Linked DNA regions of Drosophila melanogaster. The protein of the gene in region 2 purifies or fractionates together with the protein of the main gene of each other region. This does not show direct contact. Each region holds a gene or a part of one and is shown on either strand. Other genes may lie near its edges. The genes, in order: CG3529 and CG12024.

The links.
Region 1: the proteins of CG12024 (region 2) and CG3529 purify together in Drosophila melanogaster (affinity purification with mass spectrometry, with the first as the bait; one large-scale study listed by BioGRID). This does not show direct contact.

What each region holds. Positions count from the first base shown.
Region 1 is NT_037436.4:9,445,220-9,451,575, forward strand, and holds CG3529 (uncharacterized protein), read left to right. Parts: upstream 1-1,644; 5' UTR 1,645-1,776; coding exon 1,777-1,843; intron 1,844-3,168; coding exon 3,169-3,620; intron 3,621-3,681; coding exon 3,682-4,409; intron 4,410-4,469; coding exon 4,470-4,605; intron 4,606-4,798; coding exon 4,799-4,849; intron 4,850-5,012; coding exon 5,013-5,210; 3' UTR 5,211-5,566; downstream 5,567-6,356. Other genes in the region: Srg3 (Sting-regulated gene 3), read left to right, coding at 483-1,066; CG3448 (uncharacterized protein), read right to left, coding at 5,605-6,312.
Region 2 is NT_037436.4:1,855,314-1,859,737, reverse strand, and holds CG12024 (uncharacterized protein), read right to left. Parts: upstream 2,574-4,424; 5' UTR 2,494-2,573; coding exon 2,335-2,493; intron 2,274-2,334; coding exon 1,554-2,273; 3' UTR 691-1,553; downstream 1-690.

The DNA.
Region 1 (6,356 bases), 7.6 Mb from region 2:
AAAAAACCCTTTATTTTTAGCTTTAAAGTCAAAAATTCAACTTATTTCACAGTGTGTAAACAGTTTCTTGACAAACTGTATGTGTCGCAAAGAATTCCGGGGAAAAACACGTTTCTTCTCAGTTTATACCCTACGTGCGAGGCATATGATTTGTCCTATCAGCCTGTTGGAACCGCTAACTCATATATTCCTTAATCTAACCAAAAACAAATTTTGCGTCGTATTTGTGAATAATGCACCGATTGATTTGATTGATTGCTTTAAGAGCGGCAGAGAGCAAAGATTACAGATAATAGGATAATGACTATTATAGTCAGAACACAATATTCTGTAAGAATCATGCAACTTATAGTTAGATCTAAATGGGCTTAAGATTATGGGTCTTGGAACAGAGAAGTTTAGCCGACTAACCAAGTCGGGACTATCAAAATATAAGTCTCAAAGCCTCACTCACTAATATACCCTACGTTCTCTTCTTTCAGAGGACGAATCCTATGAACTGTCCTCGGAAATCTGGGCCGTCGACATGGAGATCACTGACAGCGAGACCGACGACGTGCCCGTCAGCAGGAGCGTTAGCGTCAGCGCGAACGTCAGCGGGAACGTCAGCGGGAACGTCAGCGGGAAAGTCAGCGGGAACGCTAGAGGAGCCTTCAGCGGGACCCTCAGCCAGACCGTCAGCGCTACCGTCAGCGGGACCGTCAGCGCGACCGTCATTGGATTGGTCATCAACGAGTTCGTTCCAATGCCATTCAGTGGGACTCTCAGCGGGATCCTCAGCGGAACCCTCAGCGGGACCGTCGAAGGGACCATCAGCCGGACCGTCGACGGGGCCGTCAGCACGACCGGCAGCGGAACCATCGAAGGGACCGTCAGCGGAACCGTCAAGGGGACCGTCCGTGGGGCTATCAACGGGACCATCAGCGGAACCATCAGTGGGACCGCCAGCGGTACCGTCAGAAGGACCGCTGACGGAAAGCTCATTTTTGAGACAGGTGCAAGGTTGAACAATCGAAAATTCATTATCCACGAAATCTGTGGAATGAATTGTGAAATAACTCTTTGAAATTACAAAGTTTTTGAGATACATAACACGCTCTGTGAACAACCATGACTATGAGGTACCCGTTACTCAGCTAGTCGGATTGCGAATAAAATGAGAAAAAATTAAAATTGTTTAAAGATGTGGGTGTGATTACAATCCAAAAGGTGCAAGGTGCAAGGTGAACAATAAAACTAAGAACAATCTAATGTGGGCGTTGGAGTGGTCATGGAAACATGGGTCAACAATCTTGGGCTGCGTCTATGTCTCTGGAATCTGCACGCTTAATCTAAACATTCTAGCTTAAATAGTTCCTGAGATCTCGACGTTCAAACGTACAGACAGGCGGACATCGCCAGATCGACTCGGCTACTGATCCTGATCAAGAATATATATACTTTATATGGTCTGCCTGTTACATACTTTTCAACGAATCTAATAAACCCTTTTACTCTACGAGTAACGGGTATAACTATGTCATTATCTCAAAAACTGTGGATAATTCTTTTAAATAAAATGAAATAAAATGCTGCAGCCCTGGAAAAAAACCTATTCCTATTTACCCACTTATTGTAATGCATTTCTTTGTGGGTATTTTTCGCTGAGGCCAGCCATGGTCACTCTGCTGTAGACAAGTGCATAAACATTTCATCCAGGTGAACAAAAAGTAAATAAAGAACAATTTTAACCGCACTGCAACCCAACGGCGAGCATTAATAAGAAACTTCTCCACGATGGCTTCATTTTTCAACGTTGGCGCCTTGGGAAATGTTTTCTCCACTCCAGTTGGCCAGCGCATAGGTGAGTAAACCACCCTCCCCCCTCCAGCGTAAAAAAAACACCCACCGGAAGCGGGGGTGTGTGTATATGTGGTTAAAGCGTAATATTTTCCACAAATACAACGCATATGCGTTGATATTTACGCATTTACATTGATAGTTATCTGATTAGAGGACGCTTCAAGGCAGTCCCAATCAGACTGGGCCATTGGAAAATTGAATTTTCACAACTTTCTTCGTGCGTTTGCTTGTTTTCTTGTTTTGTTGTTGGTCTCTCACACACACGCGCACATTTCCATGTAGCGATACTCATTTGTTGTTGCCAGACCATTACTATGGCAAAGCGGTCTGATTTGATTTGAAAGGCGGTGGCAACAACGGTGGGCCTCTGATAAGATTAACCCTTATATGAGTATGCGGTTCCAACAGGCAGGTGTGACAAATCAGATAAATGTTTGTTGGTATGCTTTATGAAATTGCTCACCTTTTGGCACGCACACAAAGAGTATTGTTATTGATGCGCTCTTTTATTGTTTGATTGCCTGTTTTCCCTTCACCCCCTCCTGGCGGCCACCTGTTTTGCGCCCTTAGTAATCGCAATTAGTCATCGTTGCCGCTGGCCGCTGGGTTACATAAAAAAATGTGTTAATTTATTTCGTGTTCCCCTTTGGCTCGCATTTTCGCCATAATTTCCATTTGCCGCTGCACACACAACAAACACAGATACACACATTTACGTGCAATCGTGCATATGTATTAGTGCCGTACTAATTTGTTGCTTCGCTTTTTTTATGAGCTCACATTTTGTTATTGTATTGCGGTTGGTTAGCTTTTCCCATATCTCCTATATCTGTTGGATATCAGTGTTACGATATCTGATATCTGAGAAATACACTTTGCGCAATGGTTTCGTTTTGGATTTAAACAAATTGCTTTGTGCATTTTTAATTCGAGCAAGTCATTGCACTTGGTAGATCCTAAATTATAAACGAAAGATAATGCTCGCCCACCTGTTAAAAAACACAGTTTCAGCCGCCCATAAAAACAAACAAAGGAATGCAAATTGTTTACTTGGGTTTTCACACAGAAAACGAAAAAAATAATTACATCTTTCGGATCAAAAACCGCACAATTTACTTGGAATTATAATTAAATATATTATTATAATTAAAATGTAACGAGCGTTTTCAGAAATAAGATACAAATTTAAAAAAAAAAAATAGGGATACCTTTTTTGTTTTTGTATTTATATTACATGAAATATTGTTGCAGTTTTTTTTTCTGGAAGAACGATAGATTTAAAAAGATCTTAAGGTGTCAACTAATACTTACCTTCTCACCTTTCAGAGGCCGCCACCGATGCCAACCTGGCCTCGGAGAACTGGGCCGCCAACATGGAGATCTGCGACATGATCAACGAATCCTCCGACACTGCACGCGATGCTATGCGTGCCATTCGCAAACGCCTCTCCCAGAACGCCGGCAAAAACAACCAGGTGGTGATGTACACGCTGACCGTCCTGGAGACATGCGTGAAGAACTGCGGCAAGGCCTTCCATGTCCTGGTGGCCCAGAAGGACTTCATCAACGAGCTGGTCAAGCTGATTGGGCCCAAGAACGATCCACCAGCCGCCATGCAGGAGAAGGTTCTCAGTCTGATACAAATCTGGGCGGATGCGTTTAAGAACCAACCGGATCTCAACGGCGTCACCCAGATGTACATGGAATTGAAAAACAAGGGCATCGAGTTTCCAGCCAACGATCTGGATGCCATGGCACCCATTTACACGCCACAGAGGGTGAGTCGCTGAGGAATCCTCTTTACTTTAACCATAATAAATGCTTTCATATGCCTTTTAGAGTGTTCCCGAGATGCCCCCTCAGCTGGTGGCCGCTCAGCAGCACACAATCTCGCCTCAACACATGGCTGCCGCTGCTGCCGCCGCAGCTGCAGCCGCAGCTCCACCCAGCACAGGTCCTTTGCATTTGACTCCCGAGCAAGCGGCTAAGCTGCGCTCCGAACTGGAGATCGTTAGCAACAATATGTCCATCCTCAGCGAGATGCTCAGTGTTCTGAAGCCCGGCCAGGAGTCGCCCGATGACTATGCCCTGCTCAATGAGCTCACCTCGACCTGCAAGGAGATGCAGTCTCGCATCGTGGATCTGATTGGACGTGTCCAGGACGACGAGCTCACCGCGGAGTTCCTGCGCATCAATGACGAGCTGAACAATGTGTTCTTGCGCCACCAGCGTTACGAGAAAAATCGTTCGCAGGGCCAGGGTGCTGGTGTTACCTCGCCCTCGGCTGTGCTGGGCGCAGCCATGGGCCTGCCCGGTGTGGGAGCAGCTGGAGCAGGAGCCACCACGGTGGCTACGCTACCACCTCCGCCCACAACTACCGCCGTGAGCAATACGCCGCAAAGTGACCAACTGCTGATCGATCTAATCGAAAGCAGCGAGGAAGCCCAACTGCCACAGAGTTTGGGACAGATCAGCCTGGGTGGTGGAGCACCCATTGGGGTGCAGAGGAGCGCACGACCTGCCGATGAATTCGATATGCTGGCACAGTCGCGCACCGATGGCAACCAGTCAGTAAAGAGTGCTTTCCAATCGAGCTCATCAAGTATTAACAATAATTCTTTTTTTAGTAAATCGGACTTGCTGCGGGACATTCCCTCGGTGGACGCTGCTGCTGGGAGTGTGACTGCCACCGCCTCGCCTTACAAACCAAATCAACCGCAGCAGGCACAGCGCTCAGCCGGCGAACCGCCGGTGGTAAGTAAAGTGAGTAACTAGCCGCCGGACAGCCGGTCTAACTAATGGCGTTCGATTTGTTCCCTTACCTTTTGACCTCGTTTTCGCCATTGATTTACACTATGTGTCTAAATTTGAAAATATGTTTTGGTTCTTTTTTGTTCTATGCAAATTGCGTTTGGTTTTCGTTTCGTTTTGTTGTTCGGTTGGCGCCCACACACAGTCGACGAAAGAGAATGAGATCGACGAGATGGAGGCGTGGTTGGGCAGCTCAGTAAGTAGCCATTCGAATAGCATTTTGTCTTTTTCTAAGCTCATCTTACCATGCACTCGGCTTCAGTTTCTCGATTTACATACTATTCCTTTGCTTCTTAGCTTCTGTCATCCATTTTCGAGTACTTAATATGACTAATGAGTCATTTGTTTCCACCACACAGCACATCGAGGGAATTGAGGAGCTGACCAGCTCGGAGTTTGACAAATTCCTAGAGGAGAGAGCCGCTGCCGCCGAGAATCTTCCAACGATCAGTGCATCGAACTCCGCCGCCAGTGCCACGACAGGATCGGCAGGAGCCGATAGCTTACGAAAGACACCAAAGAAACCGGGCGCCGAAGAGGATCTGCTCGCGCTCTGAGTGATCTCCGCCAGCACCATCATCGGCTCTAATTGTTTACTCTTTCAAATGTTATACACACCCTAACATACTTATCCGTAACGTCTATTTGATAGCAGATACATAGTAACACTTTATGTAAAATGCTTTTATTTTTTACAAAAACAGCAACGATAACTATTGATTATATTCCAAAAAAACAAGCGATCTTTTGTTGGTCTAATTGTAAGCCACGTCTACACATTGATGGTAATTTAATGTATTACGTTACAAGTCTATTTGTTGTTTATTTATACATACATTATAAAGCTAATTTATTTTACAAAATCGAAAAGAAAAACTAAAACAAAATGGAAATACATTTCAAGCACATACCGATTTCGTCTTTGTTTAAATATTTATATTACTAAGGGGCTTAATCTGAGTCGTTATCTATATTCATGACTTGAGTAGCTGCTCCGTAGGCATCGTCCTCGTCATCAGAAAAAATCCTTTGATTATTCTTTGCTCTTGATACTTTCCCGGATCGTTTTTCCAACTGACTCTCTAAATCCCGGATGTGGGCCTTTTTGCTGTTCAAAAGCAGCAGGAATTTCTTGAGAAGTTCCTCCTCCTTCAGCTTGCTGTCCCTCACATACTTTTCATATTCAGCCAGGGATGCGGTTGTCTGGGCGTCGGATTCGGTGGCTGGAGCTGCTTGTGGCTTCTGCTGACCAGCTTCGATGGCTGCATCCAGCATCTGGTAGCAGTTGGAGACTTTTCTAAGCGGAACATCCAAGTACAGCGTTTCGTATCCTTCGCATTTGTACACTTTGAACGCTGGTTTTTCGACATCTTCCATGGATATTTCATAATCAAATCCTTGGAGTCCCATGTGCGTAGTTACGGCACTTTTGCACTCCGCAAAGAAAGCATCGTAGGCCTGTTCCAATTCACTGGCTCCACTTCGAAACTCATCGTATTTTACAATTGACCGGTAGTTTTGATTGTCAGAAGTGGTCAGGATGTCAAACTCCACGTCGTCGTCCATCCATTTGCTTCGGACATAAATAAACGGCTTTACGTCTATTTGACTATGTGAGAGCTGAGAGCGTTGAAGTAATTTAACCACAAAGGTGGACATGTTCGGCAATATTTTAGTTTCACAACTAAATGTAAACAACTGTT
Region 2 (4,424 bases):
ACAAGAGGCTCCTGCGGCCAAGGCTCATTTCCGCTTCCTGGTAAAAAGAAGAGGAGCAGGAAGTGCAGAGAGAGCCACAAATTCTAGAATATTTAATACATAAGAAATGGTTTAACACAAACTAAACTGTCGTGTCAATCCCAAAATGAAAAGAAACCTAAAAACGAAGTAATTTACAAATATTTCATAATAAACATTGCATAAACTTCGCGTACGAGTAGTAACCAATATGCCCTTAAATCAAAGTCTAAACACAGCCAACAACCAACATTAAAAGTAAACTAAATAAAACCTAAGCCCAAGCGTATATATTAAATATATGATAAAGATACAAATCATTTTTGAACATAATAAACAACAAACAAACCAACCGTTACAATAACATAATGTAATAATGAGCGTGTGAAAAATGTAATTGAAAAACCATTTTTTCGAACTTGTTTCCCTACTGGTCGCGTTTTTGGGACCCCACACAGAGCCTCTGATCTCAGAATCCTGGCAGTCCCGAATTCGCGACGCAGTAGGTCGACATGATCGAGCATCTTTTAATTATTAATAAATGTATTATGTTTATAAAAAATTAAAAAGGAAATGCAAAAACAAAATAAAAATTAAATAAATTCATTTGTGGAGCGTATGCCTTATTCTTAGCATAGTTCATTCAGAAGTTAAAGACAAGACGATTGCATTGAAGTTTTGAAATATCTGTATTTGATACTTGGAATAGTTATATAAGGTTGTTATTCAAATATTTATACATATACAATTACAATCAAATAGCTCGTCTTTATAATTATAATATTCTGCTAGTTTATAGCACGCATGTTAATCCAGCGTAAGATCTGCGATAGGATCGATTCGGAGTTAAGTTGGGGCGTAGGAGTAGTAAAACCGCATTGTATCCACAGCTGATATGGTATGCAAGTTCCGAGAGATTCGCGGGTTGAGATATACAATCATAATGCATGCTTTTCGTAGAAGCCGGCGAATCGCTCGCCAGCAGTTAAAATGTAGAAAGTGAATTTTAAGACAGAGTTACGTGGTAGTTTCTATTACTGTACAATAAGTGGCTCGAGTTCCGCTTCATGACTAGGTTTTGGGCTAAGCAAAGTGCTATACTGGGGGACTCGCCTCCGATTCCTGGTGTGATGCTTGTTAATTAACGCTTTTTATAATCAGTCGAACGTGTGAGTGAGTGTGGCTTTCTAGCAATCTCTAGCAATCGCGGCTTAAAAGAGGCCGCCTTAGTATCGATTACAAATTATGCATAAAACTTAACTACGCTAATTTGGCAACAACGAAAGGGTAAACAAAACGTATACAAACAAGGAATATATGTATGGGTATATGGGGGTATTGCACGGTAGGGTAAAAATTGCACTTAAGGTTAAAACTAGGGTAATACCATCGCATCTTTGTGTCGAGATTGGGATAGGAGATTTCAGATTTCGTTCTTGCCCGGAGATTACTTTGGACTGGGGAACTGGGGAGATTACTAGCGCACGTGATCGTCACGTTATGGCCGTTGAGATTAGATAACAAAACGATCCGCTTCACTTGCGCAGCTGCAGTTGACCCTGCTGCTGGCTGGACTGGCTCGCTTGCTGCTGATCACGCTGCTGGTGGTGGTGATCCTCGTCGTCGCTGGGCTCTTCGCGCAGCGGCAAGGAGTCTATCTGCTTGGCCGTGGTCACCTTCTTGTTGCGCTGCCAGGTGAAGACTCGGGCCATCTGCAGGAACTTCTTGCGCGACATCTTGCCCATGTTCTTGAGCCGCTCCTGGAAGGGTGCGTCGTCCTCGCCCTTAGCCTTGCCGCTCTGCTCCTTCTCGAGGGCGTTCATGAAGTCCTGATTCCAGCGCAGCTGATTCATGAACTCCTCGTTCTGCAGCATCAGGGCGAACTGTTCGTCCGGCAGTTCGAAGTCCTGCTGCCCGGGAGCGGGCGTTATGCGCAGAAAGCCCGCAGGCAGTGGACCCAGGATGGGCGGATTCCAACGCCTGCTGCGTTTGGTGGGCGTGTTGTTCTGGCTGCTTCCCTTGCTGTTGGCCGCTCCCAGCGGGCGCTGCTTGGGCGAAGCGCCCGTGTTCTGATGGTTCGGCGATGCACCGGCCGTCGGTAACAGCGCACTGGGTGCTCCAGGTGCACCGACTGCACCCGCTCCTCCGCCGTCCGTGGTGTCCACCAGCTGCAGGTCCCTGTCCGAGTCGTTCAGGTTGATGAGGCTCTGCTGGGGCGAGACATTAGCATCCAGTTCATTGCGCAGTTTCTCGTTCTGCGTTCGTTAGTGGGTTAGTACAGCATAGACGTTAGTATACACAGGCGCCTCCACTCACCTGGTTGTCAATCGACATGGCCAGCAGGGCGTCGATGGTCTGGTCCACGGCCCCCAGGTTCGCCCGCAGGATGGCCTCGATCACCTCGCGGTCGATGTCCGGGAACATCTTCTTAAAGTCGGTCATTGCCTGCGAAAATTCCAGCTGCAGCGTTGACATGATTATTCTTATTTTTATTTTCGCCCCCACAGTCCAATTGACGGAGCAGTGTGACCAGAGCGAATGTTCTTTAATTCTGCCAACAAACAGGGGGTTCCTACTGGTGACAGATAAGTTGATAAGAATTACTTGGCCCTTACAATAATCCAGATTGCTGAACAAGAATATTATTACTAACAAATAACTTAAATATTGAAGTGTTTTAGCAACATCAAGCAATACTCTATCATGAATTTGGATACATGCGAGGATATTACAATTCAGCGATTACACATGTTCAAAGAAGTGAGGAAAGCTTATTTCTGAGGTACTCTACAACCACAACATCTAACACTGGCAGTGTTGCAAAGCGGTTAAGTCCGGCTTTGGCGGCAATTCAAACTGGTTTTATGCGACCGTATCAATAAAGTTCAATTTAGTGCATTGTTTATGGAAGTTTGAGAAAGTTATCCGACAGATGACTCAGTGAAGCAGCCACATCGGCTGTCACGTGATATCCTCAACTCGAGTGGCTGATAATTGGCGGCACGTGCTGGTGCCTTTGTTCCGGCAAGCAGTGTCGGTTCAGTCGGTCGCGTTTTAATAAGTGTCAATTAGCACTGATATGGCTGCCACTTAATTTGCTATCAGCTCTGGGCGGTGTCCAAAGAGCCCGCTTATCAGAATCAGTCGGACAAGTGATGAGCGAGACACCCCCGCCGGATTTGGGTTCGGAATAGAGGTGATGAAACCATAAATTTCAATTTAATCACAAAGTCTGCGGAAGAAGCGTGGGCTACCTTCCGATATTTTCGGATCAGACAAGAGGTTTCGAGAGTTCGGATCATCCAATTATAGACTAGACGGAATTAATTGCTGTCTACTGGGACTTTGCTTTTAAGACGCATTATATTTGGGAAATGACTCGGGGGAGATTCTATATAAGCAAAACACAATCTTTAAAATACGTCGAAAATTTTAATTAAAGATTTTTATGCGACGGCACCCCCAATTAATTTGGGTTTCTGTGTGACTTAATCCGGGCAAGGTGTTGCGTCATATTTTTTTGGATTTTTATAATGAAGATTTGCCGAGATACGCGAATGATTAGGTACGCATAAGAGATAAGAGATCGGTGTAGTTATCTATGCGATGGACATGTGTAAATTTCCATGCTATTTTCGTATAAACTTTATTTTTAACCCCCTTGTATGATAGATTAAACATTTTTATTTAGATTTGTGAAAGGCACATCCCACAATGGGTTGGTTCTATTTACAAGTGCCCAATTAATCTTAATGTCTCATTAAAAATATTTTATTTACATTTGTGACAGGTTCACCCTGCACAATGGGTCATATTTACATGTACCCAAAATGTGTAAGGAACTCAAATCATGTGATGATTTCATTTGAATTCCATGAGTTTGGAAATGCCTTTTGCGATCTCAGCTTCCGCTGTTGAAAAACTGCAAGTCGACATTGACCCAATTAACATTTAAAATATTCCAGCTAAGTCATGACGAGTTTAATGACCTACAGTTGAAGTACTGGTTCATGTGGGAACATTTTCCGAATCTCACCCTGGCACTATCATCCCAGTGCACAGACTATAAAAACCTTGCTCAAATCACCTTGAAGTCCCAAAGCCCTGAGTTAACGAACCGGGCGAGGGAGTACGCCCTAGATGATAGTAAAATACTTACGGTTCAGAGATCGAAGTGGTACATAATTCAAGTGACTTAATTTGCTGACACAGCGCACCCAAATGACCCATCCCCAGTGCTGTAGCGCAGTCAGCAGCGCCAACTATATGGCCCACCGATCATAAATCTTGGCTTTATCGGTCGATTTGTCAAAAGCGTGGCACGACAAGCGCACGAAGATCGCGGCCGAAGGCTCCAACCGACTTGAGTCGGTGCTGGTGGGATTCGATGAGTTAGTTCGCCGCCA